2 linked regions of the Nothobranchius furzeri genome follow. The protein of the gene in region 1 interacts with the protein of each later gene in a biochemical or structural test. Links are inferred from orthologs where the notes say so. Each region holds a gene or a part of one and is shown in the gene's direction. Other genes may lie near its edges. The genes, in order: smurf1 and pdlim7.

What was found.
Region 2: the proteins of smurf1 (region 1) and pdlim7 are reported together in a solved structure, tested with the Homo sapiens proteins (2 studies listed by BioGRID, with this or other methods). The link is inferred for Nothobranchius furzeri from reciprocal best matches to the Homo sapiens genes SMURF1 and PDLIM7.

Annotation. Positions count from the first base shown.
Region 1 is NC_091752.1:65,339,311-65,354,955, forward strand, and holds the end of smurf1 (E3 ubiquitin-protein ligase SMURF1), read left to right. Parts: intron 1-516; coding exon 517-555; intron 556-656; coding exon 657-765; intron 766-849; coding exon 850-983; intron 984-1,071; coding exon 1,072-1,137; intron 1,138-1,234; coding exon 1,235-1,310; intron 1,311-1,458; coding exon 1,459-1,670; intron 1,671-1,758; coding exon 1,759-1,843; intron 1,844-3,579; coding exon 3,580-3,726; intron 3,727-4,046; coding exon 4,047-4,269; intron 4,270-4,882; coding exon 4,883-4,986; intron 4,987-6,751; coding exon 6,752-6,866; intron 6,867-6,971; coding exon 6,972-7,150; intron 7,151-7,295; coding exon 7,296-7,433; intron 7,434-7,509; coding exon 7,510-7,630; intron 7,631-7,734; coding exon 7,735-7,936; intron 7,937-9,174; coding exon 9,175-9,259; intron 9,260-9,331; coding exon 9,332-9,431; 3' UTR 9,432-9,664; downstream 9,665-15,645. UniProt on the Homo sapiens protein: E3 ubiquitin-protein ligase that acts as a negative regulator of BMP signaling pathway. Mediates ubiquitination and degradation of SMAD1 and SMAD5, 2 receptor-regulated SMADs specific for the BMP pathway.
Region 2 is NC_091741.1:103,122,744-103,138,388, reverse strand, and holds part of pdlim7 (PDZ and LIM domain protein 7), read left to right. Parts: intron 1-6,091; coding exon 6,092-6,144; intron 6,145-6,297; coding exon 6,298-6,544; intron 6,545-15,645. UniProt on the Homo sapiens protein: May function as a scaffold on which the coordinated assembly of proteins can occur. May play a role as an adapter that, via its PDZ domain, localizes LIM-binding proteins to actin filaments of both skeletal muscle and nonmuscle tissues.

The DNA of each region.
Region 1 (15,645 bases):
TAAAAGGCTAACAAACGAAGAACACGCGCCTCGGTAGAACATGAGCAATTTGGAGCAGCCTTGGCGGTTCCTGATGATGTATCTCCTAGGCAACCGGGGTAGGACCAAGACATCAAGGCGAGGTTCCTTGACACTGAGGAACGGACCTTACCTTCCTCCTGAGAAGTTCTTCTCTGCTGGTTGGGTTGTGTGCAGTCCTGGCAGCGACACTGCCCCCGGGTGTTCATGTGCTGCATTGCAGTTAAAAACATCCGAGTTAAGATAAAGAAAAAACCTGTATTGATGATTTTTTAGATAAATTTCAGCTTAAAGCATAACTAATTGTTGGTTTCTGCTGTGATGGGTGTCGTGTTTTAGTTTCTTAGTTTTTCTGCTCATTGAAATTCAAACCTGCATTCTTCCTCCTCCGAATCTTTTTCTGCACCAGATTTCATGGCAGCAGCCCACACGCCATCATTAACTACATGTTTATGCATGTGACATTTTCTTCATACTTTCTCTTTTTGTTTATTGTAGTATTGTGTGCCAAGAACCTCGCAAAGAAAGACTTCTTTCGTAAGTATTTTTACGTCAGTGTTTTTGTAAATATTATTATTTTGTTGCAACAATGGAAACAGAGAGCTGGTGTGTGTGTGTGTGTGTGTGTGTGGGTGCAGGTCTACCAGATCCATTTGCCAAGGTGGTGGTAGACGGATCGGGCCAGTGCCACTCCACCGACACCGTCAAGAGCACACTGGATCCCAAGTGGAACCAGCACTATGACCTGTGAGTTTCCTTTCTGTAAAGATGTTTGACCTTGATGAAAATGTCACAATATATTCAAAATGATGAATGGAACTTGTTCTCCAGCTACATCGGGAAGACGGACTCCATCACCATCAGTATATGGAACCATAAGAAGATCCACAAACGACAGGGGGCGGGGTTTCTGGGCTGCATACGGCTGCTTTCCAACGCCATCAGCAGGCTAAAAGACACAGGATGTAATTCTAATTCGTCGTGGTTTAAAACTTTCCTTTGACTCATTTATCATGACTGAGATTAAAACCCTGAGTTTGCTTCCTCCTCCAGACCAGCGGTTAGATCTCTGTAAGCTGAACCCCTCTGACAGCGATGCAGTCAGGGGTCAGATTGTAGGTAAGACTATTTGTCCAAAACGGTGTTTTTCTCGCGTCGTCCCTTCCTGTCCCTCGCCCTGTCAGCACTTTAATCTGGTCGTTCTTGTTGTTTACAGTTAGCCTACAAACACGAGACCGCATCGGCAGCGGCGGGCCGGTGGTGGACTGTAGAGGCCTGCTGGAAAATGAGGCGTAAGTGTGTTGCCACGTGTTTTTGCTGAATTTATCAAACTCCATCCTGTGAATAAGGTCACCACAAAATTTGGGAGCAAAATATGTTTTCTTACTGGTTTGATCACCGTTAGTTTAAGCTGTGAGGTTTGTTTTCTTTTTGGTGCAGGCCTGTTTTTGAGGGATGTTTCAGCGAGGAGCCGCTCCCCTACTCTGACCCCACTGGTGCTGCGGGAGGCGGGAACTGCCGGCTGGACTCCCCAAATCAGGAGAGCCGTCTTCCATCGCAGCGAATCAGGGGGCAGGACTCCAGAGGTCACGGCCACACCCCTCAGAACAGACCGCACGGGCATCAGCCGCCTGACCTGCCGGAGGGATACGGTTAGTTTAACAGCAAAGGTTTTATCCAACCCAAACTTGACTCAGATAGTTTCTAAGGCCGTTTTATCTGTTTTTGCTTTAAAAACAGAGCAGAGAACAACAGTTCAGGGGCAGGTGTACTTCCTTCACACACAGACAGGGGTCAGCACCTGGCACGACCCTCGGATACCACGGTGAGCGATCACACACTGCTGCTTCTCTCACTCTCCAAACATCACCCATATGGAACTAGGATTGGGACAATTTTACATGTAACTTGTACCAAGCTTTGTAACCCGTAACATGTTTTGTAACTGCAACTTTCGTTTTGTAACACGTAACATTTGGTACATAACTTGAAACTTTCATTTTGTAACTTTCAGAAAAAAAGTCAGTGCACAAGTTCCAAATCACAAGTTTCAAAACACAAATCTCAGTCTACAGTTACAAAACATTTTGTCCCAATTCTAGCTTCCTTCTCAAAGAACCAATGACGGGCTTTGTCTGACCAGCCAATCATGAGTCTTAGATTCCTGTCGAGGACAATTCCTGTTGGAAGCAAGCTAGAATTGGGACAAAATGTGTTGTACTTGTAGACTGAGATTTGTGTTTTGAAAGTTGTGATTTGGAACTCGTGCATTGATTTTTTTCTGTAAGTTACAAAATAAAAGTTTCATGTTACTTACCGAAGTTGCATGTTACAAACTGAGAATTACATGCTACAATACTAAAGTTACATGTTACAAAACATGTTACAAGTCACATGTAATAATGTCCCAATCCTAGCTCCATACACCCAGAAACAGGCGAGAATAAACAAGAATACAAGGTCCTGGTGCATTTCATAGAAATAACTTCATGAGAATAAAAAGATGAGAAGAAACGATGCAGCAGCCGCTGATATTTCAACGTTAGTTTGGTTCTAATCTAAGCTACGAGAAAATGCTGGTTTTGATGTTTAAAGAGCAAGTCACTCCAAATCAACATTTTTTTGCTGATAAACTATATAAATGAGTGTCTGATTGCTGTAGACAAATGTAGTCAATAATTTGGCATTTTAGTGCATCTTCATTAAAATTTTAATTTTCTGCCTAAAACTGTCAGTGATGCACCGTCGTCAGGCAAAAACTCAGCACTGCATTTGCATTCTGCCGTCGCTATTGGCTAAGAGGTACACTATGATGTCAAATGGTACATTATGATGTCACAATGTCGTGAGTGTGTGTATTTGTTAGAGGCTCCACCCTCTCGGTCTGCTAGGCAACAGCATTTGTTGCATTTTTCAAACAGGAAGTGGGAGTTGAGTAAGAATCTGGTAGGGGGTGACTTGCTCTTTAAAATCTGGAAACGATTGAATAACTCAAAGTCACAATCAGAGGGATTCCATTAGAAAATATATTAAAAAATCATAACAACCTGCTCTACAAATGTTTTCCACTTCTCCCTCCCTCTGGTTGAAAGCGGAATCACAACTGTCAAACAACTCAGCCGCTGCCTGCTGTAGCTAACGCTAACAATGAGCTAATGCTAACACGAGCCAACTAAAACCAAATAAGCCACGAAGTTAAAAGATCCACAACGTTGGACAAAAAATATTATTACTTACAAGTTCAGTAGCAACAAAGCCAGGTCACCATCAGTCTCTGATTTCATATCCTTCTTTAGCTCCCTCAAACTAGCGTAGGCCGCGACGATGTTCACTCAGGTTTTATCTCCGCTTCATCTCCAAAGACATTGCTCTCTTACTTTTACTTCCAGGCTCCGCCATGATGCCAACAGAAAAAGCAAAATTCTTCTTTTTTTATTGACAATCGCCAAACTGATAAAGCTAACTGCTAGCCTTTATATTAGCTACCGGGAGAGTGGACAGCTGTTGCCCACTGGTGTTTTCTACCAGAACCATAAAACTGTGCGACTGCTTGTGGCGCAGGGACCTGGCCAGTGTGAGCTGTGAAGAACTCGGGCCGTTACCGGTGGGCTGGGAGGTCCGGAGCACCGTGTCCGGCCGCATCTACTTTGTGGACCACAACAACAGAACCACACAGTTCACAGACCCACGTCTCCACACCATCATCAGGTGGGCCATCTTCAGATCCTCATCTGTCTTTAACAGATGAGCCGATTCCCTCCTGAGTGCTGGACGTTTAGTCTGCTAAACGAGTAGTTTTAAGATTGTCTTCTCGTTAATCTAATCTGCTGATGTGAGTAAGAAACACGTCTGGATCTGAACATGACGTGCTAACACTCACCAGCTCTGCTAGCGCGGCTGAATCATGTGGTTTACAGAAATGTGGGCTTAAGGGAGGTTTAGCAGGTGTGTGTAATCCGGGCGTTCTTCCATCTCATCGTGTTTTCTCTCATCTGCTCTCCTTCCTCGGCTTCATCTCCACCCTCCAGCCAGCACTCCCAAGTGAAGGAGACCCCCCAGGCCCCTCAGATTGATGTGGGAGTGGAGGAGGGGGGAGTCGGCAGCGGAGGCGGAGGAGGAGACGGAGATGTAGCGGTGCGCTACGAGAGAGACTTGGTGCATAAGCTGAAGCTGCTCCGCCATGAGCTGTCGCTGCAGCAGCCTCAAGCGGGACACTGTCGCATCGAGGTGTCCCGAGAGGAGATCTTTGAGGTGAGAGAAAGAGCAGCAGATGATTAACGACCTTTGAACCCTTTTCTTTTAATGTCGTCAGCTCCAGCCTCATTTTGGGGAGATTATTAGTTGTTTTTTTTTTATTCAAACATTTATTGTTCAACAACGTAGTTCAACAACATAAATGCTGGTAAGGACAATAATGTTAGCCTGAGCTGCTAACACTCAGAGGTAAATAACAGAAGATTGTTGAAGCACGACTCACCTTCCAACATGTACTTGGAGTTCCAGATTATGAATGAATGAATACTTTGTGTTTGTCACCCCCCTCCCCCGTCCCACACCCCCCCCCCCCCTACAACTGCCATCTTGTCTCCTGATCAGTGAGGCTAACGCTAGCTCTTTTCCTCTCTCTGGTCATCACATATTTTGTTGTGGTTCTGGTCAAGTGTCCATCACAAAACGAAAAAAAAAAGACATTTTTCTCCTAAATCAGACGAGGTTTCTGCGCTTAACTAACCTCTTCTCAGCTTCTCCACCAGGCGTCATTAGCTCAAAGAGTTAAACTGTGTGTGTGTGTGTGTGTGTGTGTGTGTGTGTGTGTGTGTGTGTGTGTGTGTGTGTGTGTGTGTGTGTGTGTGTGTGTTTACAGGAGTCCTATCGTCAGATAATGAAGATGAGGCCCAAAGACCTGAAGAAACGCCTGATGGTGAAGTTCAGAGGGGAGGAGGGTCTGGATTACGGAGGAGTGGCCAGGTGATTTTTTTAGTCCTGTTTCTGGGCAGCCAGCGTTTGGTGGTTCTGCTTTAGTTGGTGCAGCTGTGGCCGGGGCACACAGAAGACAGATGCGCCGCGCCGCGTCACGCCTGCTATATGCAGGACTTTTAAAACATACCAGAACAACACTCCGTGGCGCAGCTGTCTACATCATTGTGGAGTACTCCTCTTCTTTTTTCTTATTTAACACAGACAGTGTAGCCATTTGATGTTTTTCTACCTAAACATCAAATCGCTACACTGTGTTAAATAAGAAAAAAGAAGATGATTATGAACCAAAACGCAGAACGAACATTCAGAAGAATTGAGGAGTACTTTACAATTCAATTCAAGCTTATTTATTAAGCTCCAAATCAAGACAAGAGTCGTCTCAAGGCACTTCACATAGTAAACATTCCAATCCAGGTCAGTTCACCAATCAGAAAAATATTTCCTATATAAGGAACCCAGCAAATTGCATCAAGTCACTGACTAGTGACAGTCTTTACAGCAATCCTCATACTAAGCAAGCATGAAGCGACAGTGGAGAGGAAAACTCCCTTTTAACAGGAAGAAACCTCCAGAGGATCCTGGCTCAGTATAAGCAGCCATCCACCACGACTCACTGGGGATGGAGAAGACAGACAGACAGAAGTGTTTCTATGGTTACATTGTGATTTCTTTGTAAATATTGATGAGAGATAAACTTTACTGTATTTATCCTAGTGAATCTATAATTAAACAGGTAAACTAGTAGTAGCACATTCAATGTACAACAGACATTACGACGCAGAACGACTTTACGGCACAAAGCCAACCGCCAAAACATGGACGAGGAGCTTATAAAGGCTACTTGACTACAGTATTGATACTTTAAAGTACTATTGATCTTAAAATATTCTAATAAACAGAGTACTCACCCATTTTTAATGAATTAGTTTCACAAAACACGACAGCAGTCTGATCACGTATAAACAAGAGTCACTTTCCACTTCCTGTTCTCAAGTCCCACGTGAAGTTGTGACTGTCTCATGACGCTCAGCGATGCAGCGATTCCTGTGTGACCCCAAAACTGCGGCGCTTCCGTCTTCTGTGTGCCCCAGGCTCACAGACACCGATGTAGTAGTACTAGTAGTACTAGTAGGGTTAGTAGTAGAAAGTGTGTTCCTTTATCAGTGTGTTAAACGTATGAGAGCTGTCTTTCAGACTGTGAAAATGTTTTTGAGTTTTAATATTTTGCCTTAGTCGTGTTAAAAGTCTTGTTCTCTGACAAACGTGTTCTTTTGAAAGCCGATCGGACACTCCGAGTTCCTCGTGCAGGCTGAATGTGAAAAATAGTCTTCTACCCCTATTTCCTGCTTTCGCCGCAGAAGGAAATAGATGAGGAAATGCTCGTGTCAGAGAGGAAATTAGCATTAGTGGCCCCGCCCACCTTGGCTTCAGTCGTGACGGCAGAAGGTTGTTATTGATTTAGCATCCAGGAGAGAGCAGAGCACAACTCGGCTAGTAGAGGCTAACCGTTAGCATTAGCAACTCCACAACACGGGTAAAAAAAAAAAACAACCTTTAATGTGTGATTCTAGATCAGCCCGGTGCTGTTGTTTCTCTGTAGGACCGGTAACCCATCCATGTGCGACTAGACGACGTGTTCCTGCTCCATCAGAGTGGTTAGATTAGCGTCTAACGGGCGTTTTGTATCATATCTGGCTGTTATTGGTGTGATTTGTCAGTGTAAGCGTCTGAAACAGCCTGTGTGTGTCTGTAGGGAGTGGCTGTACCTGCTGTGCCATGAAATGTTGAACCCTTACTACGGCCTGTTCCAGTACTCCACCGACAACATCTACACACTACAGATCAACTCCGACTCCTCCATCAACCCCGTGAGTGTCCCTTTGTGTGTGTGGGTGTGTGTGTGTGTGTGTGGGGGGGGGGGGGGGGGGGGGGTTGATCCAGACAGTCTCTGACTCGATTCCTGTCTCTTCAAGGACCACCTGTCCTACTTCCACTTTGTGGGTCGGGTCATGGGCCTGGCGGTCTTCCACAGCCACTACATCAACGGGAGCTTCACGCTGCCCTTCTACAAGCAGCTGCTCGGGAAACCCATCCAGCTCAGTGACCTGGAGACCACAGACCCAGAGCTGCACAAGAGCCTCGTCTGGATACTGTGAGGAACTTCCCTCTGTTCTCAGAGCAGCTCAGGCCGACGTTGGTGTAACCCGGTTCAGACCTTTAGCACTAAACGGGGTTACAGTAGCCTGCTGCTTTAGCTCATCGTGCGTTTTCACTTGTGTTTAATGTTCTTTGTGCAGAGAGAACGACATCACTTCCGTCCTCGATCACACGTTCTGCGTGGAGCACAACGCTTTTGGGAAGTTCTCCCAACATGAACTGAAGCCTAACGGCAGGAACGTCTCTGTTACGGAGGAGAACAAGAAGGAATACGTCAGGTAGGAGCAGACGATTGGTCGACACGTTTCCTGGGTCGGGTGTCTTCATCCTGTCTGTGTTTACGGCGCGTTGCAGACTCTACGTGAACTGGAGGTTCATGCGGGGAATCGAAGCCCAGTTTCTGGCTCTACAAAAGGGATTCAGTGAGCTGATCCCACAGCACCTCCTCAAACCTTTTGACCATAAAGAACTTGAGGTGAATGTCTCAGCTCTGAACCACGGATCCCTTTTTAAATGTTGTTTTGATTTGTTGCGTTTGAGTCGGACCGTATCCATCCTGTTGTCCTCTCGTCCCTCCAGCTGATAATCGGCGGGCTTGGAAAGATAGACCTCGCGGACTGGAAGGCCAACACCCGCCTGAAACACTGCACAAGTGAGAGCAACGTGGTCCGGTGGTTCTGGCAGGCTGTGGAGGACTTCAGCGAGGAGAGGAGAGGGCGCCTCCTGCAGTTCGTCACAGGCTCCACCCGGGTGCCGCTGCAGGGGTTCAAAGCTCTGCAGGGTGGGTCATGTCCTGACACACACACACGCACACACACACACACACACACGCACGCACGCACACACACACACACATGGTTACTCATAAAAGTTTAAAAACAACAAAGAGACACACAGCTAACCAGGATCAGGGCTGGACGGATACTAAAACACAATCATGTCCTGCTAAGACCCGAGTCTGGGCCTCGCATGTTTACATCGTTACTCTGGAGACACAAATAACAAAAACGGGATAAAGATTAACGATCAGTTCCTCTGTGATGTCCTTTTATTCAGCTAATACTGGATCATTCCTACACCCAGTAGCAGGCTTTAGGAGGTTGTAGCCGTGTCAGATTAAAGCTCGAGTCCTGATTTAAAGTCGGGTCACAGTTCCCTTCTGATTACAATTATTTTTCTTAGCTTAAAGAAAAATCCACAGCAGCAGGATATTCCTCACATGGCCGTTATTCGCTCCTCGCGCTCATTCTCGGGACCTCGTAGCCCCTCCCACTTTTCTTTTCACAATAAAGTACAGGAAACAAAATACAAGCTATAGGCAGGACATTTAAAACATACCAGAACAAACAAATAGTGACTAAATGAGATAAATTCAAATTAAAGAATAGACTTTTATAAGTTTTATTACTCATTTGCAGCAGATTTATAAGTTCAGTGTGAGCACTATGGCCTCATTTATCACGTCTGCCCTGCGGGGCACCTAGCTGCTAATGCTAGTTTTTACGTTTTACTGAAGAAAAACTCAATTCTACAATCTGACCTTCAGAAATATCAGTATAAATGTTGTTAATCAATCAAAATTAAATTAGAGATCCATTCTTCTCATCCTATCCTTTATTATCGTTGCTTTGCTCATCACAATGATGATGTGCTCAAAAGAGACATTTAGTTTTTGTGTAGAAGTTATAAACAATCGTTAAAGCTAAAAGTTAAAACTAAAATGAAACAGAATTTAGAGGGAAACAAGCCCTGAAAAAAAGAATTAAACCTGCAGCAAAAACACTGCTCGGTCTAGCCGTTAGCGTGTCAATCCTGTTGGATGAAACACTATTTCTCTTTAGAGGAAGCTTAAAATAGTTATTAACTATCAGTTTTACACATAAAAACACTTAAAATGGCTGACTGAACTAAATGTGTGTCTGATCAAGTTTGAGCTTTAACTGGATGTTTGTAGTTTGGACTGAGGAGTGGTCTGTCTCCCACGGTAGCGCAGTGATAACTAGAATGAATGTGTGTAAGGCTCTACAGGTTCTGCAGGACCAAGGCTCTTCACCATCCATTTGATAGACGCCAACACGGACAACTTACCCAAGGCGCACACATGGTGAGGACACGTATGACGCGGCGTGTGGCGTCCTCTGCAGATTGGTGGCTAACGCTTGTTTCCTGTGTCCAGTTTTAACCGGATAGACGTCCCTCCCTACGAGTCTTACGAGAAACTTAATGAGAAGCTGCTGACGGCCGTGGAGGAGACCTGCGGCTTCGCTGTGGAGTGACCTGTCCACGTGCACACAACTGTTCAACACACACACACACGCACAGACAGAACTTCATGTATGCTCCGAGTATACAGTGCAGCCAAGCATCACACACACACACACTCCCTAGCCACCTCCGAACTGTTGGGGGTAAAGGAGGAAGCACAGCAGCAGCAGGAGGAGGAAAAAACAAGTATTTTAAATTTTTTCAGACATTTTGAAGAAGAATTTTTATCCTTCATTTTTAACGAGCTATGATGTCATTCTTACGAATGTCCAACCACGACAAGTCGGACTCCAAACTCAGCCAATCGCACGAGAGCCTGCAAACACGGACGGTTGATTCATCGACTTCATGGTTACTTCATGGTTAACCACTGTTCTGTGTGTGTGTGAGTGTGTGTGTGCGCGTTCATGCATGCGTGTGTGAGTATGGAAAGCCAAAGGTCACAATAAAGCGCACGTTTTGAATGTGCGTAATGGCCGTTTTGGAAAGCCAATATTAAGCAGACAATAATTAATAAAATTAAAATAAATAAAATCTGCTTTAGGTGAGTCGAAAACAAAGTAAATAAAAGAAGATGAGTCCTGATACTTGAAACCGTTTAAAGGGTTAAAACGTCATACTGGCAAGAAGTGTAGCTAATAAAAAATTATATATATATATATATATATATATATATATATATTACAGTTTAACCCTCTATTGATAAACTGTTCAAAGTATCAGAACAAAACTTTTTTTTACATTCTTTGTTTATCTAGCCAGCTAAAGCAGCTTTTTTTTAATCCATCACCATTGGCTTTCCATACAGGATTTGGCGAGCACGGTGCAAGTTTTTTACGGGCGCCTTTTTGTTCCCTTGGTCGTCCTGCCGCGCATTTTATTGTCACCTTTGACTTTCCATAATTTGAATGGTAAAACGAGCCTCTGTTGGCTTTTGTCTGCGACCACTCTGATCCACTCTGATGTTTTATTCTTATTTATTACTAAGTGATTACTGACCACGCTGCTACGGGCTCTACGACGAGCCATCACTAATCTCTTAATCAGCCCTCGATTAGAGTTGAAGGGTTAATTTTCACGCAATGCAAGTAATCCACAAAGTGGGTTTTTATTGACTTTTGTTACTTTGAACATCCATATTCCTGTGGAGGGAATAAGCTCTAGACGGTGAATGAAAATGTGTTCCAGAATACCAGGTTACATTTGTCTAAATGTAGAGGAAGTGATTTTTCTTGGCCCTGGTGTTGAAATCAATCATATTTGAGGTCATTTGAAGCTTTTATTTTTATTTTATTTTTTACAGATTTAGTCTAAACCGGGATGGAGAAACAGCCAGATTTAGGAATCCTTCATCCATGTTGTCTGTATTAAAATCTCTTCAGTCTTTTGTACATGTTGCATTACCCGTAATGCCATCTTTTATTCATAACACCCCATGTCCTGAGTGTTAGAAATGCTAGACTCCATGAATGAATCTATTTCCGCTCCATGAAACTTTGATGAATAAAAGCTCAAAGAAGAAACAATGTTGTAGATTGAAGACTGTTAAGCAGTATTATTTCAGTCTGCATTGTCTATGGTCTGATTTCACTGTGTAATGGATGCAAAAGTATTGTAACTTACAATGTACTAAACATTTATGAACGAATACAATGTAAATAAGATTATATTAAAAGAAATTACATTGAGAATAAGGTTTTCTACTTTGTGGCTTTTTTTTTTTTGGCTCTAGAAAATTGGGGAGAACATGACGCTCTACACACCAGGAAGAGTCCTACCTATCCTGTAAAAATAGTCTTGTGCTTTATAAAAATAAGCTTCAACAAGCTAGAACCGCATATTTTTCTTCGTTAATTGAGGAGAATAAGAATAATACTAAACTTATTTTCAGTACGGTTGCCAAACGTTCAGAGAATCATAGCTCAGAACCATCTATTCCCTTAGCCTTCAGCAGCGACTTTATGGGAATTCTATTAGATACAACATCATTAGCATCCTCCCTAATGCGATTTCTTCTTCCTCAGTAAGTGAGGCAGTATCAGAGGTAACTGTAGAACCTCATTTGTGTTTGAACTGTTAAAAATATTAGCTTAATCTAAACCTTCAACTTGCATTTTAGATCCAATCACAACCAAATTATTTAAAGATGCATTTCCTTTGGTTACTGCCCCCATTCTGTTTATGTTTATGTGCTTAGCAGACGCTTTTACCCAAAGCGACTTTCAAATTTTTTTTACCTATAGGGCATGTTGTGATCTGTGGGGGAAACCGGAGTACCCGGAGAAAACTCACGCATGCATGGGGAGAACACGCAACTCCACACAGAAAGGCTGCAGCCGAGTTTCGAACCTGCGACCTTCGTGTTGCGAGGCAACAGTGCTAACCACTGCGCCACCATGCATATATAATCAATCTATTCTTAGTAAATGGATACATACCACAGGATTTTAAGGTTGCTGTAATCAAACCTTTACTTAAGAAGCCTTCTCTGGATCCAGATGACCCAATGAATTATAGACCAATGAGCATTTAAACACTAATGCTCTGTTTGAGGAATTTCAGTCTGGTTTTAGAGAGTATCACAGCACTGAAACTGCATTAGTGAGAGTTACAAATGATATTCTTATGGCCTCAGATAGGAATCTTGTGTCTGTTCTAGTCTTGTTAGATCTCAGTGCTGCTCATTTATAAAGCTTGCTTGTGCACAAAATGGGGTCGGAATACTGTAAGCAACTTTCCACGCAAACTTTGGGGTTTATAAAAGAAAACAAAGCAGAAACGTGCACAACTTTATGTTGACTAAGGACCTTGCTTACGCACATTTTGGACATGGAGAACACTTGCAGTGCTGCTGCTGAGAAGGATAAAATTTTGAATTCCAGCAGCATTATCTCTTGTACCATTTCATGCACACACAGAACAAGCCCCCCTCGCTTCCTTGATCTGCGGTCGCCATCGATAATAGTGGACTGCTGCAACAAGCCAGCTTATGTAAATGCATGAGATCCACAAGCCACTTTGCATTGACCATTTATGGCAGAAAGTGGGCGTGTTGAGGGCGGGATGTTATCCAGAAACAGCTGAGCACATTTCTGGGTAGTTTGTGATTATAAAGCGGAGATTGCGTGAAGCTGTGCGTACTCTGTTTTATAGGTCACAAACTTACTTGGCGCAAGTACATTTTTTTGCCGAGCTTAAGTACGGTTTTAGTAAGGATTCTACGCAATGTTTTATAAGAAGAAGAAAGTATCATTTCTATAGCGCCTCTCAAGATAAAAATCACGAGGCGCTTCACAAAAACAAAAAATATGTAAAAATATTAAAAAGCATTTAGAAAATGTTTAAAAATATATTTAAAATGAGCAAAAATATACAATTGGGATTTAAAAGAAAAAATGTTAAGAAAGAGAGAGAGTGAATAGGAAAGAGGGAAATCAGTGGATCCTGAGGAAGGTGGAATAGGTGGGGAGAGCAGAATAAAGAGGGAGTGGTGAAGAAGGTCATACAAAAGCCAGCTTGAACAGGTGAGTCTTCAGCTGCTTTTTAAAGGAGACCACTGAGTCCACTGATCTCAGGCTCAGGGGAGAGAGGTCCAGAGTCTGGGGGCCACAGCAGCAAATGTTCTGTCACCTTTGGTCTTTAGCCTGGTGCTGCACAACCAGTAGGCTTTTGGGCCATTCCCATCTGTACCGGGTCGGCCCGGGCCGGGTAGCGTATTGTTTACATATCTGGGTGGCCTGGTATTTTTCCGGGCCAACCAAGGCTCATTCTCAGCCCTCTTCTCGAGGGGGTCTGCTTCAGGCCGACCAGGGCCAACACACCCACTGCTGACAGCAAATTCACACCTTCCATTAGAGCAAGCCTCTTATTGGTGGGTAGAATCAGCCCACATGGGCTTAAGACAAGGATGTGTGGAAACAACCGGGCCAGGCTGGGGCTGACTGGGGCTACCCGGCCCGGGCCGACCCGGTACAGATGGGAATGGCCCACTAGATCACTGGACCTCAGGGACCTGCTGGGGGTGTAGGGACTAAGAAGATCACCAATGTAAGATGGTGCTTGTCCATGTAAGGCCCTATAGACCAGAACCAGGATCTTGAAATGAACCCTGAAGTTGACTGGCAGCCAGTGAAGCTGGAGGAGAAGTGGGGTGATGTGGGTGTGTTTGGAGGACTTGGTCAGAAGCCAAGCACAGGCATTCTGAACCACCTGTAGATGGTTCAGGGAGGTTCTGCTCAGACACGTGAAAAGAGAGTTGCAGTAGTCTAAGCGTGAGGAGATGAAGGTGTGGAGAACAGTCTCAAGTTCAGAGCGAGACAGAACGGGACTCAGCTTAGCAATGTTCCTGAGATGGAAGAAGGAAGAGCGAACAAGAGAACTGACATGAGGATCCAGGGTGAGAGCTGGGTCAAAGGTCACGCCAAGATTCCTGACGGAAGGTTTGGTGTGAGAAGCAAGCTGACCAAGAGAGTCTCTGACTTTGGAAACCAGCTTGTCTGGGGCACAGATGAGGATCTCAGTCTTATCTTCATTCAGCTGAAGAAAGCTCCCAGCCATCCAGGTTTTGATAGAGTCTAAGCAGGTGTGTAACAGCTGCAGCTTAGACATCTCATGGGGCTTAAAGGAGATGTACAGTTGGATGTCATCTGCATAAAGATGGTAGGAGATTCCTTTGAAGGAGCTCAGGATGTGCTGAAGAGGAAGCAGATAGAGGAGGAAGAGCAGAGGCCCCAGCACTGAACCTTGTGGGACACCATGGGTAAGAGAGGTGGTGGAGGACCTAAACTTGGAGACGGCCACAGAAAAGGAGCGCTCAGAGAGATAAGAGGAGAACCACTCCAGAGCAGATCCTGATAGGCCTACCCAGTCTCTCAGCCTCTCCAGTAGCAGGTGATGGTCAACAGTAAGTCTCTCGTCTCTCGTCTTCCTCCGCTTATCCGGGTCCGGGTCGCGGGGGCAGCATCCCAACTAGGGAGCTCCAGGCCGTCCTCTCCCCGGCCTTGTCCACCAGCTCCTCCGGCAGGACCCCAAGGCGTTCCCGGACCAGATTGGAGATGTAACTTCTCCAACGTGTCCTGGGTCGACCTGGGGGCCTTCTGCCGGCAGGACATGCCCGAAACACCTCCCCAGGGAGGCGTCCAGGAGGCATCCTGACCAGATGCCCAAACCACCTCAACTGGCTCCTTTCGATCCGGAGGAGCAGCGGTTCTACTCCGAGTCCCTCCCGAATGTCCGAGCTCCTCACCCTATCTCTAAGGCTGAGCCCGGCCACCCTACGGAGGAAACTCATTTCGGCCGCTTGTATCCGCGATCTCGTTCTTTCGGTCATTACCCAAAGCTCATGACCATAGGTGAGGATTGGGACGTAGATCGACCGGTAAATCGAGAGCCTGGCTTTCTGGCTCAGCTCCCTCTTCCCCACGACAGATCGGCTCAGCGTCCGCATCACTGCAGACGCCGAACCAATCCGCCTGTCGATCTCCCGATCCCTCCTACCCTCACTCGTGAACAAGACCCCGAGATACTTAAACTCCTCCACTTGAGGTAGGACCTCTCCCCCGACCCGGAGGTGGCAAGCCACCCTTTTCCGGTCGAGAACCATGGTCTCAGATTTGGAGGTGCTGATCCTCATCCCAGCCGCTTCACATTCGGCCGCGAACCTACCCAGCAAGAGCTGAAGGTCAGAGCTGGATGAAGCTAGGAGGACCACATCATCCGCAAAAAGCAGAGACGAGATTCTCCTGCCACCAAACTCGACACACTCCACACCACGGCTGCGTCTAGAAATTCTGTCCATAAATGTGATGAACAGAACCGGTGACAAAGGGCAGCCCTGGCGGAGTCCAACCCTCACTGGGAACAGGTCCGACTTACTACCGGCTATGCGGACCAAACTCACGCTCCTCTGGTAAAGGGACTGAATGGCCCTTAACAGAAAGCCACCCACCCCATACTCCTGGAGCGTCCCCCACAGGGTGCCCCTGGGGACACGGTCATAAGCCTTCTCCAAATCCACAAAGCACATGTGGATTGGTTGGGCAAACTCCCATGCCCCCTCCATCACCCTTGCAAGGGTATAGAGCTGATCCACAGTTCCACGGCCAGGACGAAAACCACATTGCTCCTCCTCTATCTGAGATTCAACTATCGATCGGACCCTCCTCTCCAGTACCTTGGAGTAGACCTTTCCAGGGAGGCTGAGGAGTGTGATCCCCCTATAGTTGG
Region 2 (15,645 bases), on another chromosome or scaffold:
AATGATCTGTCACCTTTGGTCTTTAGCCTGGTGAGCTGCACAACCAGTAGGCTCTGATCACTGGACCTCAGGGACCTGCTGGGGGTGTAGGGACTAAGAAGATCACCAATGTAAGATGGTGCTTGTCCATGTCAGGCCCTATAGACCAGAACCAGGATCTTGAAATGAACCCTGAAGTTGACTGGCAGCCAGTGAAGCTGGAGGAGAAGCGGGGTGATGTGGGTGTGTTTGGAGGACTTGGTCAGAAGCTGAGCACAGGCATTCTGAACCACCTGTAGACGGTTCAGGGAGGTTCTGCTCAGACACGTGAAAAGAGAGTTGCAGTAGTCTAAAGCCCCCTTCAGACAGGCCATGAAAAACGGAAATGTTCAGGACTCTGTCCGTAAGACCTTTGTGTCTGAATACAAACATCCGGATAACCTTTTCCGTAATTAAACAGGACAACGCCCCTAGTAACAGGTCCGGATTTGTCACGGACAAGGTGGCTGCTTCAGACGGGTGAGGTCGAGTTCCGGACAGGGAGGAGGGGGAGGAGGAGGAGGGGACCAGGGGACGCTGTGCGCACCTAGATAGCTCGCTCCTGTAGCATGCAGCGAACCATGGCAGCTTGCCTCCTACGGTACCGTCTAGACGCGCGACAGAGCGCTTCACACCGCTTCACACCGCCTCCGTGAGTCATTTATTAACCATTGAGCTTCATCATCCAGGTCTCTTATGCGTCTTCGTGTGCGCAGATTTATGGTTAACATAAGTCAGATCAGTGAGAAGAATTCTATCGCTTCGTCTGCCATGTTTGACTGAATGGCTTTGTTTGGGTAAATGACGAATGTACGCCCTCCGCACTATGTCGTGTCCCCCCCCAAGAGATCTGCTGTGTGAAAGCAGCCGAAAGGGCAAGTTCAGGTACAAAAGTGGTGTGTCTGAAAACACAGTTCTGGTTAAAAACTGGACTGAATTGTCCTCACATTCCAGAATGCCAATCTGAAAAGGGCTTAAGCGTGAGGAGATGAAGGTGTGGATAACTGTCTCAAGTTCAGAGCTGGACAGAACTGGCCTCAGCTTTGCAATGTTCCTGAGATGGAAGAAGGAAGAGCGAACAAGAGAACTGACATGAGAATCCAAGGTGAGAGTAGGGGTTGTACGAAATAGTCGACTAGTCGACTTCACGGCTCTGTAGTGACTTTTTATGCCTGTCATCAACTAGTCGCTGTCACGTGATAATGACTGACAAGATGCAGTCCTCGGAAAAGACAGCAGGTGATGAGCCCCTGCGCGTCTGGATCGAGGCGGAGGCGACGCGCTGTGCGGTACTGACACCGGCGGTAAAACGGACATTTAACCAAACTGTGACCTTTTCCCTCTTGCAATTTAACCTTCCCCTCACCCCCATCCTAATCTTAACCAGTTTGTGCATGCAAAGCTCTGATCGTTGACGTGCGCTCCAGACATTGCGTCCTGAGCACCGCCAAATCAGGTGTCACCACCTCAAAAACAAATTAAACATGCGATCGTTCATGTTGGCTCATTTCCTTTCATGTTTTCTGTCTGTTATTTGTGCCTGATGCATTTCGCTGCTGCGGAGCGAGGCGCATCACCTGTTGTCCTCCGGTGACGCACCCCCAAGATTCCACTATCTCTGCTCCGCTCCGGCATGAACTCCGCAGCAAAGACGGTCCCGTTGTAGTCGGCCAGCGAGCAGCGGCACTCCGCTGTTTTTGCGGTCGGTAGATCTTTTAGAACTGCAGTTCAAAGGTAACTCATAAGGTGAATATATATGAACCCAGGTAGCAGTTTTTCTTTAGGATTGAGAGGAGATGCAGGAAGATAATAAACAGGCAGGACAGAAAAATAGTCAAATAAAAACAAGTTAGTTTTTGTACCTGCTGGTTGCAACAAACAGACACCACTGAAGGTAATCAGAAGTGAGGAACAGAAAATGAAATAATTATTTTAATGTTTAGAGCAGCAGGAAAGGCTGCAGGCGCATCAGTGAGTTTGTGGCTGCTGCGCAGGGGGAGGGGGGAGAGGGCTGAAGTAGGATGCAGAAACTACCGTTGTTAAAAGAGATGTGTTAACTTAGAAAATGTGGGCGCAATTTTAATTGTCAAAAACTCCAGCGAACCTACCAACCGACCCCCCCCCCCCCCCCCGCCGCTTCCGGCGTATGACGTCATCAACGACTAGTCTAAGTCGACTCGACTTTCATTACTTGACTGTTGACTTTAGAAAAAATAAAGTCGTGCAGGCCCTAGGTGAGAGCTGCGTCAAGACTCCTGACGGAGGGTTTGGTGTGAGAAGCAAGCTGACCGAGAGAGTCTCTGACTTTGGGAACCAGCTTGTTTGGGGCACAGATGAGGATCTCAGTCTTATCTTCATTCAGCTGTAGAAAGCTCCCAGCCATCCAGGTTTTGATAGAGTCTAAGCAGGTGTGTAACAGCTGCAGCGTAGACATCTCATGGGGCTTAAAGGAGATGTACAGTTGGATGTCATCTGCATAAAGATGGTAGGAGATTCCTTTGAAGGAGCTCAGGATGTGCTGACGAGGACGCAGAAAGAGGAGGAAGAGCAGAGGCCCCAGCACAGAACCTTGTGGAACAGCATGGGTAAGGGAAGTGGTGGAGGACCTAAACTTGGAGACGGCCATAGAAAAGGAGCGCTCAGAAAGATAAGAGGAGAACCTCTCCAGAGCAGTTCCTGATAGGCCTACCCAGTCTCTCAGCCTCTCCAGTAGCAGGTGATGGTCAACAGTGTCAAAGGCTGCAGTCAGGTCCAGCAGGACCAGAACAGAACAGTCCCCTGCATCACTGTGAGTCAGAAGGTCATTGGAGACCCTACGAAGAGCTGTTTCAGTAGAATGAGCTCTACGAAAACCTGACTGGAAGCAATCATAGATGTTATGTTCATCAAGAGCTGCTGTGAGTTGTTTAGCCACAACCTTTTCCAAGAGCGTGGAGATGAATGGAAGTTTAGAGATAGGTCTGAAGCTGCTATGGAGAGAGGGGTCAAGACTCAGTTTTTTAAGAAGCGGGTGGATTACAGCGTTCTTAAAGTAAGCAGGGACCTGACCAGAAACCAGAGAAGCATTAATTATAGAGAGCACGCTGGGACCGATGGACTGAAAAGCACTTTTAAACAAAGATGAGGGTAAGATGTCGAGGGGGCATGCAGAGGTCTTCATAAAGTTAACTAGTTTTGTTAACTCTGGCAAAGAAACAGGAGCAAAGCTATCTAGGATGATGGGCCTGGTTGGATTCGGGAGAGGCGGCGATAAGGCTGAAGGAGAGATGCTAGATCTAACCTTATTGACTTTGTCCACAAAGAAAGACAGAAAGTTCTCACAGTCTGCAACAGAGTGGATGGAGGCTGTAGGAGAGGCAGGAGAGACAGTGCTGCTGATGGTGTTAAAAAGCACCTTGGGGTTCCCTTTGCTCTGGGACACCAGGTTGGAAAAATAGGCACCCCTAGCGTCTCTGACTGCAGAGTTAAAGGATGTCAGAAGATCCTTTAGGTGCAGCAGATGGACGTGGAGATGGGTTTTCTTCCACAAGCGCTCAATTTTCTGCATTGGTGCTTTAGGCTGCGAAGGCTGTCATTAAACGAGGGAGTAGGGTTCACTGCAGGAACTAATCTGGTTCTGACAGGACAGATATTGTCCAGAATGGAGAGGCAGTGCTCGTTGAACTGAGAAGTTAAGGAATCTGGGTCATTATCAGAAGAACAGGGTGGATCAAAAGCAGCAGAAAAATTGCTAGCTGTGCTCTCGTTAAGAAAACGAAAACTAACCATACGGCGAGCAGGAGGTGGGGACGCAGAAACTGACAAGTTAAAGAAAATGCAATGGTGATCTGAAATCGAAACGTCCTCATGTCAAACACTGTCAGCATTTAGACTCAGGGTAAAAACAAGGTCTAGAGTGTGCCCCGTGGTGTGTGTGGGGCCAGAAACATGCTGGGTAAAGACGAAGGAGTCCATAAGGCTGGAGAAAATCATGGCAAAATGATCAGAGGGATCATCAACGTGGATGTTAAAGTCACCAACAATCACCAGTCTGGACAGCTTCACAGTGGAGGACAGAAACTAAACTCCTGAAGGAAAGAACTGTTTGGACCAGGTGGACGATAGACCACAGCACAGTAGAACGGGTCCTTACGCCCGACTTTAATCAGCTGCAGTTCAAAGGAAGCAAAGTGACCAGAGGTTGTAGAGCTACATGGATGCTGGTCTCTGAAAACAACAGCTAGGCCTCCACCACGACCAAAACCCCGGGGCTGGCTAAGGAACGAATAACCACTCGGGCAGAGTTCAATCAGACCAGAATAATCAGATGTTTGCTGCCAAACTTCAGTCAGAAACAGAAAATCCAGGTTTTTAGAGAGAATTAGATCATTGAGCAGGAAAGACTAATTGTTAACAGAGCGGGTATTTAATAGAGCCATGCTGAGTGACTTTATTGCAGATTCTGTTCATAACTTTTATGGACAGAATTTCTAGGCGCAGCCAATGTGTTAAGAGGATCTGTTTTGGTGGCCTAATGCCTAATTTATACTTCTCCATCTGCATCGGGATGGAGACACGCAACTCCATTATCCGTCCTTTCAAACCTCCTGGAGAGCTCTTCCAAGGATGGATGGAGTCGAGGTCTCTTTTCTAAACATCTGACCGGCGAGACGAAGAATGCAAGCTTGTGATTGGTCAGGACGCCGCTGTCGTCAACAATGCCGTCATTGCGCCCTCGAAAACATAAAGAGAACCAAGGATATCTAGCGGCAGACATGGAGCAGCTTGAAGAATACCTCACGGCAAAACTCTAAAAATATGAACGTTTTATTCACCTGTGACCGGAGGAGTGAAAAGATATGCAGCAAGCATTTTATCCATGGACGGAAATTACGGGAAAATTGGGTTTAGAGGTGGCGAGTCCATGAAGAGGTGGAGAATGAAGGACAAATTTGTTTGTGTTAAAAAGTCTCTTAAATACACAAAATACAATATAAATATAATATTAAATGCACTAACCAGATACATGACAGGATACCACAGAACAGCGCTATGCCCTCTGTTGTCCTGGCGGGGAGTTGCTTTGCAACTAGGGATGTACCGATCAGGTTTTTTTGCCCCCGAGTCCCAGTCATTTGATTTTGAGAATCTGCCGATACCGAGTCCCGATCCGATACTTTCGATACATGAAAAAAAATAAAATAAAGAAAAGGAAGAAACAGTTCCAGAATGTTCCTTATTTTTTTTTATTTAATTACCTTTTTATTTTAATTTTAAATAACAGATCACTTCGGTGAGGTAGCTTGAACAATCAAGTAATAAATACCATAAATGCTTCACTTTTGGACTTTATTGCAATTTTAAAAAAGTCTAATATAAAAACAGATAGCACTTCAACTTCAAGGGGTCTATTTTGCCTCGGCCCCCAAAATGCTTAGATACGTCCCTGGGCATCACTGCAGTGACGCGGGCGTTGTACCGATTTGTCGTGGTGAAGAGAGAGCTGAGCCATAAGGCAAAGCCTGTGATTTTCCAGTCGACACGTTCCTACCCTCATCTATGATCATGAGCTTTGGGTAGTGACCAAAAGAATGAGATTGCAGATTCAAGTGTCCGAAATTAGTTTTCTCAGCAGGGTGGCTCGGCTCTCCCTTGGAGAGAGGGTGAGATACCCACAGAGGGTTTGTTTAGTCCTGCAGAGTTGATGTGTTTATTCTGTTGTTCAGCATTGGGTTTTGAAGCATGTTTAATTACTTGATTGATTTCTGTCTCCAAAAAACTTAATTATCATGGAACAAAGATATCATGGAAGAAAGATCTGCAGACAACATGAACTTAAACAATCCAGGATAAACATTTTTAAACTTGCAGCTTCAAGGTTTAAATAAAACAGCTTCTCTCTGGGATCAGATCCTGCTGGTGCTGTAGCTTTGAATCATTCACACAGAAGATAATTTGTGTCACAATAGTCGATTATAAATACTAATTTCAAAATATGAGACTTGAGGGGTTACCATGGTTACCGAGCTGTGTGTGTGTGTGTGTGTGTGTGTGTATGTGGGATCTTTTGTAATTAACCGTTTTCTCCCTTCAGCCTTGAGCCAACTTCATTCTCTGCCAAGACCCAAGCTTCAGATAAACCAGATGGTGAGTTTCTGCTCCTGCTGATGCGTAAAACAAATCACAGCAGCATCTGCTTGGAGGCTGTGCAACAGATTCTTATTCTTTAGGTCTTCATGCATCCAATTGTCAACAGAGACACAGAACTTTTCTCAGTCCGTGTTTTTTTTTTCTGTCCAGATTCCAAGACCACTGCAGCACCAACAAGAGGGGGTTCCAGTATGTCCTGCAGACCACCATGGGTCACGGACCCTATATTTGCAGACCGCTTTCACCCAGACAAGACCAGCACCGTGGTGACGCAGCACCAGCAGCCTGTCCAGCCAACACCCATGCAGAACCGCAGCTCCATCCTTCAGGCAGCGCAGCAGGCGCCCGAGGACAGTGGCAGAACCCCAGTATGTGGTTCTTGCAACAAAATCATCAGGTGAGGCAACTCTTAACATTTACCTAAACTGTGTAAAGTCAGTGTATGAACCTTTTCAGTCCTGTTTAGTATGATGCATAATCTCAGGTGATTAATGTGCAGAATTAGTTTACTCATAACTTAATTCAGTTGATTTATTTAGCATTAGTTCACAGCTTGTATATGTTTGTGTAGCATGATGATTTTGAGACTACATATTTAATAATGACCAATAAGATGTGATGATTCCATATAAATATGAAATATCAATCTGATTGATCTTTCAGTGTTTACTCAGACGATTCTAGTGTTCTTTGCTAATTCAGGGACCATAAACACACTTGCTATTAATTCAGACAGAGTCAGGTATAGTTTCTAAAATTAATTTAATTATTTTTCCTAAACTAATGATTATTCATGACAAGATATGAATAATGAGATGTGATGTAGTGGGTATGAGGTGATGTAATGGGATGTGTGAAATGTAATGGAAGCTAGATGTTTTAGCAAAACCGTTCTTTGTATCTGAGAGAGTTTGTTAAGTCTGGGTTGTAAAATAATTTGTTGTTTGTTTATAAACTAGAGAGTTGTTTATTAAAATCATCCGAAGCCAGTGTGCAGGCTACGATACCCTTGGTATGAATTGATCCCGGCGGTCCAGAGGAGTGCGGTTCGAGTGGTGATGTCACCGGACGTTGAAACCACAATACTCAGAGAGTAACAGCTTCCTCTGAGTTCAGCTTCACCATCCATGAGATGCAACCTGGGGTCTGCAGGTTAGATGTCTGAGGTGTGAAGTAGCTCTGAAAAGAGCTGTTGCATCTGTAATTACTCACAGCGTCGCAGAGAGGCTTTGACTGGAAGTCAAAGGAAACAGTTTGAAAAAGGCTTCTTCCCCGATTTGGCCGAATCAGGAGTCAGCTAGAAACTGAATTAATCAGGAAGTACATTTTTGTTTTATTGAACTAATTGTTTATAAATTATAACTCAGAAGTACCCCTGAAGGACTTAGTTGTTCATCCTTTTATCAAAACTTATTTAGAGTCTGAGAGGGTTAATACGTATCTTATTGTAATGTGTATGAGTGTAGATACTGATTAACTTGTTAAATCAAAGACATACTGATTATAAGATCTGAAATGGATCATTGTAAGAGCAATAGTCATTTTATAGCCATCATTGGTTAAAGCACAGATTATTCAAACATTTGATTTAAACATCTTGTTCATTCAACACATATTATTATTTATACTTTTAAGCTGTAAAGATAAACAATCAATGATGAACAAGAGTCTGCTTCTAGACCTGCAGAAAAGGGACACACAACAATATAACAGGAGCAAGCTATCACTGCGTCAACTTGATGAAGAAATATAAAATCAACACTGTTTTACCGAACAATCCCACGATAATAAATTACAGTGCATTATGCCACTTCTGTTGGTTTAAATATGGCGGACTGAGCAGTTGGGTGTGGTGGCCTTTCCTGATCATCTTTTAATAAGTTCGAAAAAAGGACTGAAAAGTTGTCCCACTTTGAAGACATTGGGAATTCTCTTCTTCAGTATGCCTCCAAAAAAAACTCTGGCTAAGGACATGCCGAAAGGTACAGAGGAAGCCGCTGACGTGTTAATCAGTGACTTCAGCTTGGCGTCGCTGGACGCTATATTGAAAAAATATTTTTCTGAAGCCGAGACGCTCTCTAAAGAACGCTTTGATCGACTGGAGTCTCAACTCGACAGTGTGATTGTCACTCTTAACAAGCTGGAATCCGAGCTTGAGTCTCACAAGCAGCTGACTTCCTCACTCCAGAATTGAGTCAAGCAAATTGAAGAAGGTAAAGTGGATTACAAGTCTGACCTAACAAAACGCCAAAATAAGATTGTTTTTCTGGAGGATCAAAGCGGAAGAAATAATATCCGAATCTTCAACCTAAAAGAAGGGGTCGAACTTAATCATGCTTAATCCTACCTGAAGGATCATCTCCCGGTGTGGTTCCCAGAACTGGTGGCTTCTCCTCCTGACGTGTTGGTCCCGGCGGAGGCTCTGCTTCGTCGCGCACCTTGCTGGTCAGTCTCATGCAAGCTGCCGACAAAGTTCGTATTCTATCCCTGTCCAGGAGTTCTCAGGTGTCTGTCGCTGGGAGGCTCATATGTTTTGCAGCGGATTATAGCGATGTGACGGTGCGATGGCGTTGTTTTCCAATCTTAAATCGTGCTCATGCCCTGGGTTGGAAAGTCTTCCTCTTTTATCCTGCCAATATCGAACTGATCTACGGAGCTGAACAACTGTTTTTTACTGATCCAGCTGAGGCAGAGACATATCTGGACTCCCTGGATCCTGCTGTTATGAATAACTCTGAGGATCACTAAAGTCTTCTGGCTCTGAGGTTGGTCGTCCATCCCTTTCTTTCATTCAGTCATTCTACCCACCAACATTATGAACTATTTTCTATTTCTTTTTTGGTCGGTTAATGATGACCTTATTTTTGGTGGTGTCTTAAGTTAAGTTACCCAGATGTTTTCACCTATGTGCCTTTTATGTTTTGATTGGGAATACTTTTCCCTATGTATTTTTTCACTAGGTCGCTTTTCTTTCTTTTTATTAAGCTGCCTAATTACACTTTTATTTTTCTGAATTGCCCTCGAAAAGACTACTTTATCTTTATCTTTCTGGTAACATTTAGTGTAAAGTAGTCAGGGGTGGCCATAATGCTCTTGGTTTATTACCATCTGCTATAATGACTTTGTAGCCCTGCCTGCTCCTCCTTGCTGCCTGCCGGCTGTGATCACAAGCGACAACATAGTAATTCCCGCTGCTTCTTTGGGAAACAGCGCAAAAAAAAAACAAACTTGGGATCTTGTAGGCATGGCGGTGGGATTTCAGCCGTGGCGGGCTGCCACGGCTACGCCTATGTAAGGGAAACCCTGGTTATCCTGTCAAGGAACTCAATGATCTCATTATCTGATGGGTTTATCTGTGGTGAGTACAAAGTTTGGTAAAAGTCTCTGAAAGTGTTGTTTATTCTTTCAGGATCATAAACTATATTCCCAGTTGAGCCTTTACAGGGTATCCGCGGGTCCTTAAAAAGTCTTAAAAAGTCTTAAATTAGCTTTTCCAAATTTAAGGCCCTAAAAATCCTTAAAAATGACAAATTATCCTTAAATACTGTTTCCAAAGGTCTTAAATTACCAAAGACCCAATAAACAAGATTCTTTTATTTCTATAAAATTGTCGTGAATTTCTAGTCAGTGTTCAGCATTTTTTGTGTACGATATTGGCGGAAGCGGAACCGTACACATTCAGTTGGTTGTGAAAGGGGGCTATTTTTAGATGAGCACATTAGCTGGTTAAGCTAGCGGGAGCTTGCGCCATGGGGAAGTGCAAGTGTAATGGTAACTGGATGGCTAATCCCACGTTCGCGACGTGGTTAGCACCGGTTCCAGGCAATAGCTGGAAATTATAGCTTAAATAAAATTTTAAAAATTGCTGAAATTTGGTCAAAGTGGCCTTAAAAAGGTCTTAAAAAGTCTTAAATTTGGCTCCCTTAAACCTGCAGATACCCTGCTTTAACAGCAGATATGGTAGTTTTCTCTTTATTTATTCGTAACTGGTTAGCTAAAAATTTACTTGATTTATTAATATGTTCAAAGTTTTGTATTTGTAGTCTTTGTGCTAAAAATTGTGTCTAATTCCATGAAGTTCTAATTTATTTTCACGTAATTTGCTCAGTAACTCTTTTTCTGCAGATGCCTCTAAAGACTTAATGATTTCTTTTAACTCCTTAATAAGTATGTTTTCTGTTTTTTCTTATGTGATGAGAAAGAGATTGTTTTACCTCATGATGTTCCAGGCAGGTCATTATGTTCTAAATTTAAAGCCCACTCCTTTTTAAAAAAAGTCTATAAAACCTTTGTCTTTAAGCAGTGATGTATTAAACCTCCAGTTTTTGCTTGGTGGGATTGTCTTCTTATTTACCAGAGTTAATGAGACCGGAGCATGGTCGCTGACAACTATGGGGTGTAGGGCTGCAACAACGAATCGATAAATTCGGTGAAAATCGATTACTAAAAGCGTTGGCAACGAATTGCGTCATCGATTCGTTGTGTCGCACAACTCTTCCAAAAGCGCACCCCCCCTTCCCGCCCGCCGTTGCGCACAGACCAGAGCAAGTCAGATCAGCGCGAGGGAGAGCCGCAGATCAGCGCGAGGGAGAGCCGCAGATGCGCGAGGGAGAGCCGGTACCGGCAGATCAGCGCGAGGGAGAGCCGGTACAGGCAGATCAGCGCGAGGGAGAGCCGGCAGATCAGCGCGAGGGAGAGCCTGCAGACTTGAGCTGCTGCGAACCGGTTCCGCATTGTTGCACAGCGATCCAGGCAGCTGCTTCCAGCGCACGGTCCATTCTCAAAGTGGCGCAACCAAAAAACTATAATTAGCACACGATCGTTCTTGTCTGCACATGTTCTCTATTTTCTGTCTTATTTGTGCCTGAAGCGCGCTACTGCGGAGCTCATCACCTGTGCTGTGGTGATGTCACCTCACGCAGCATCGAAAACGCGCTCTGCGCTTTGCGGTCAGGAGATCTCTTTGATCTGCTCAAAAGTAACTGATGAGGTGAAAAGGTAAGAATCCAGGCAACAGATTTTCTGGAGAATTATGAGGAGATACAGGAAGATGAGAGACAGACAGGACAGGAAAATAGTTAAATAAAAACAAGAAAACAAAGTAAAATGTAGGTAGATTTATCACCACTACACGTTTTTACCAGTAAAAAACAATAAGTTATACACATGTCATAGTTATACATCTGATACAATTCAGATCACCTTCAAAACTCAGTCACACACCCAGGGCCGTTTCAAGACATTTTGGGGGCCAAGGCAAAATGCCCCCCACCCTCCATAACTGGGCTCCCCAGAAGCCTCTGTGTAATCCATACCCTCTCCAGGAGTATTAGTTATACAGTGTTTGTAAAAGCCCCTCAGACATTACTGACATGTTCTAATATTATCAGATGAAAAACTAAATTATCAGACATGCTGTCTCATCTGCTTCTTTTATAAACTTGCAAAAAGTAACAAAACCATTTGAAAGCCACTATTTGTGGATTCTCTGAAAGTTTCCATGGAGTGTGTGACAACTTATTTTTTCATTGATCCTATCGTCTAATCTCACAGCTGAAACAAGCATCCTTAATAATCTGTGCACAGGAAGCTTACCGATGCTGTAGTAAAACAAAAGGTATAATAATTTATTATTAATAAAACCTTGTTGCAGCACTAAAGCATAAAAATGAGATTTTGCATTAAATATGCAAAATATTTACACATGAATTGTTTTAGAGCCCTTTTATTGGCAGAATCTGAAATTAATTTAGTTCTTACAAAAAATGGGTCCCAACGTGGTTTGTGTGGCGTTGCCATAGAGTGACGTCATAGGCACAGATTCCCTGTCCTCTTGTTTGGAAATGGAAATATGGTCACCCTATATTAAACAAACTGTCCACCCGGGCTTTTGCGCTGCACAGAGACGCTTCGCTGCCTATGACTTTGAACGTCAGTTGAGAGTCAGTCTCATGCAGACTGACCAATGAAGAGAGGGCCTCAAGTTAAGACCCTCTCCTCATTGGTCAGTCCACACGAGGTGGGTCAAAGGTTACTCTGGGCGGGTTACGTGTTGTCAGGCATTCAAGTATTGAGTATATTTACTGCATATTACAGTAAAATATTCTGTATGTGACCACATTATGGTGATCCTTGGGTCGTGATGATGGAGCCCTTGAATATTGTTGCCCAGGGTACAACAAAGTGTTAATCTGGCCCTGGTTCCGCCGTCACATTCCCGCAGAAACTGGTTGATCACACCGGGGCCAGACCACTAGCATGTGGTTTTACAACCACAATGTCCTCGGAAGCAAAAACGCTTTTAAAAGGGAGGGAGGAGTCCTAACTGTTGCTGCAGGCGTGTTGTGTGAGAGTGCAGTTATATACTGGTTAATATATTCTTTGGGTTCAGTTGCTTTCATGTGGCCTAATGTGAGTCTATTTGGGATCATTGGAATGATCAGTAGCATTTCTTGATGTGACTTTATGGCAGTTGCCCAGGGCATCATCGCAAGGAGGATGGCATTCATTTACTTTTGTTTTATTTGGTATTTTTTCAGTCATTTTTGGAAATGGTGATCAATTTTGATTAATTCACAGCCTATGTTTAATTACATTTAAAATAAATGTCAACAGATGAGATCAAACAAAACAGATGAGAATTGCCCTTAAGCTGTTTAACTTGGACCAAGCATTTTAGGTCACAGATAGATGTAGCTTAGGGTCTCTGTCTATACACCTTATAAGACAATTTAGGTGATGGCATGTTGTTTTTCTGATATTGAACTGTTTTCTAATAATGTTGTGTTAAATAAAGTGAAGGAAGGAGAGAAATAACGTTTCCCTAGCAGTTTTTAAAAATTTCCCCATGTAATCCGATTAATCGATTAATCGTGTCGAGACCCCATCCGATTAATCGATTATCCAAATAATCGTTTGTTGCAGCCCTAATGGGGTGTATCTCAGTGTCTGAAATGTCAGCCAACAATGAGCTGCTGACTAGAAAATAATCCAAATGTGAATGAGAGTGATGGACGTGTGAGAAAAAAGTATATTCTCTACGGTTAGGATGAAGAGATCGCCATGCATCACAAAGCCCATAATCACTCATGTACTGTTTAACTATGTTAGTGGATTGCCAATTGCGCTGAGTCCCAGCTGTACTGAGTCTGTCTGTTAAAGTATCCATCCAAAAATTAAAATCACCTTCAAGTTTAAGTGGACAGTCCAAGTGTTTGGAGAGTACAGAGAAAAAATTATGAAAGAATGAAGGGTCATCAATATTTTGACAGTATATGCTGACGATACATAAGCGTTGGTTCTGTATAGATATTTTTAACATTATAAATCTACCCTCTGGATCAAAGACTGTGTCCAATACTGTGAAATTGATGTTTTTGTGTATTAAAATAGCTACACCTCTTTGCCTAGAGTTATAGCAGGCAGAGAACATGCTGGGAAACTCAGGTGTTTTAAGTTCATCTGCAGATGTGGCAGATCTATGAGTCTCTTGTAACAATATTACGTCTGCTTGCACTCTCTTTAGCTGATCAAAAATCTCTCTGGAGCCAGCTCCATGTACGTTCCATGAGACAAACCTTAGTGCACCCATAGATGTGTGTGAGAGTAGCTAGAATATGACGCCTTCATGTGAATAAGATGGAATAAGTACTTAAATGTATAAAATAATATGTTAATAAATAACAGAAAATAAATAATGAGAAGAAGAATAATAAAGACCCAACAGTGTTTGTGGTTGTATAATGAGACACATTAATTATGATATTGTGTTGTAGATTTAATGTGTGTGTGTGTGTGTGTGTGTGTGTGTGTGTGTGTGTGTGTGTGTGTGTGTGTGTGTGTGTGTGTGTGTGCGTGCGCATGTGCTGAGTCTGACACAGTGTTGGAAAGTTGAGTGGTTGTGCCATAGAGATGTAAAGGTCCAGAAGCAGATAAAAAGAGGAAAGGAAAGAATTATAAAGGTTAAAGAAGAAGAAAGAACTTAAAAGAAAAGGTGATAGGGGTGTGAGGTGGTTAAGAACAGGTGATCTCATCATCTAGAACACGGATCTAGCAGCTATGTAATCCTGACGTGCTCAAACCCAGTGAATCCTGATAGGAATATTAAATATCTGACCTGATGTTGGGCTAATACAGCCAGTCTGTCACTCCTCGCTCCTTGAAAAGTTTGCTGTCCACATAAAGCTTATCTACTGAGATGACAGCTCTCTTCCCATCCTGGATAAACTTTTTACGCAGCGGGAAGAGTACTCGGCGCCAATCCAGGATTTCCTCAGGAAACTGGTCATTCATTTTGGTCTTTTCCTTTGAGCCCTCTTCCATGACTTTTAACAAGATTCTTCTGCTTAAAATGTTCAAATTTAGCCACGATGGGATGAGGTCTTCTGCTGTCCACTCTTCAAGCTCCAAGGCGATGTGCTCGGTAAAAGGTGATGTTTTTTTTACTGTTTCTTCAGGTATCTTCATTTGGGTCTGGAGAAGGTTCTTGATTTTTGTTCGCAGTTCTCCGCCCCTCCCATCTGCTCCGGCAAGCCTGCGAACACCAAATTGTCTCTCATGCTACGGACCTGAACATGCAAAACGGTCTCCTTCAGAATCTTGTTGTCCTGGGTGATCTGCTTCACTCCTTCTTCTAGGGAAGAGACGCGCAGTGACGCGTTCTCAGCGGTGAGCCGCTCCACCTGCTCCTGGCTGAATTCCAGAGACTGTGGGAGGTTCTGGATCTCCTTGTGTAGAACCTCAAGCAGGTGGAGTCGCCCCTCAAATCCCAGAAGCCGTTTATCTATGGAATCTAATCATTCTAATATGTCCTTACAGGGAGATGAGGTCTCAGGCGAGTCCTGAGGATGGCTCCTCTTGGTCACAGGTGTTTCTGTGTCAGCTGCTGATTTCTTCGGACCCATAACAAAAAACTCAAAAACTTTGTCAATATAGTTTTGTAAACTTTTTAAATTTTCTCCACTTACCTCCAGGTTGAGTGAGTTACACTTACCAGATCATTTTTTTGCGTTGTCAGTAAATAAATTAGGTGAAAATGCATCTTATTTTTTTGTGGATTAACGAGCTGCCATCAGCTTCAAACGCTGCTGTGTCTATGGTGATCGGCTGTCAGTGCATGCCATCACCAGCCTGTGCCTGAGAATGTGCCTTGTTCCTTTACAAACTTAATACAAAGACTTTCAAAAAAGAAGTTGCGCACATTTTTCTACTTAGTTTTCTTTATGAATCACAAAGTCACTTATGGGCTGATTGGCTGCACCTGGCGGTAAGGCGTTTCCTGTTTCCAATGTTGCACTACGTGTAGCTGTTTGGTGTTTGGGGCTCACTAAAACTGATTTAATTTCTCTGTACTAGTTATTGTAGCACATAAGCACGCTAAAACACACATTTTCTGTTGTTCCACCTAGCTTTTAGGGAACCATTTGAGTTTGCACGCAGTTTATTTGGTGTTGAACAGTTTGCTCGTCCAGTTAGCTTAGCCTCAGCACGGCTATGGCT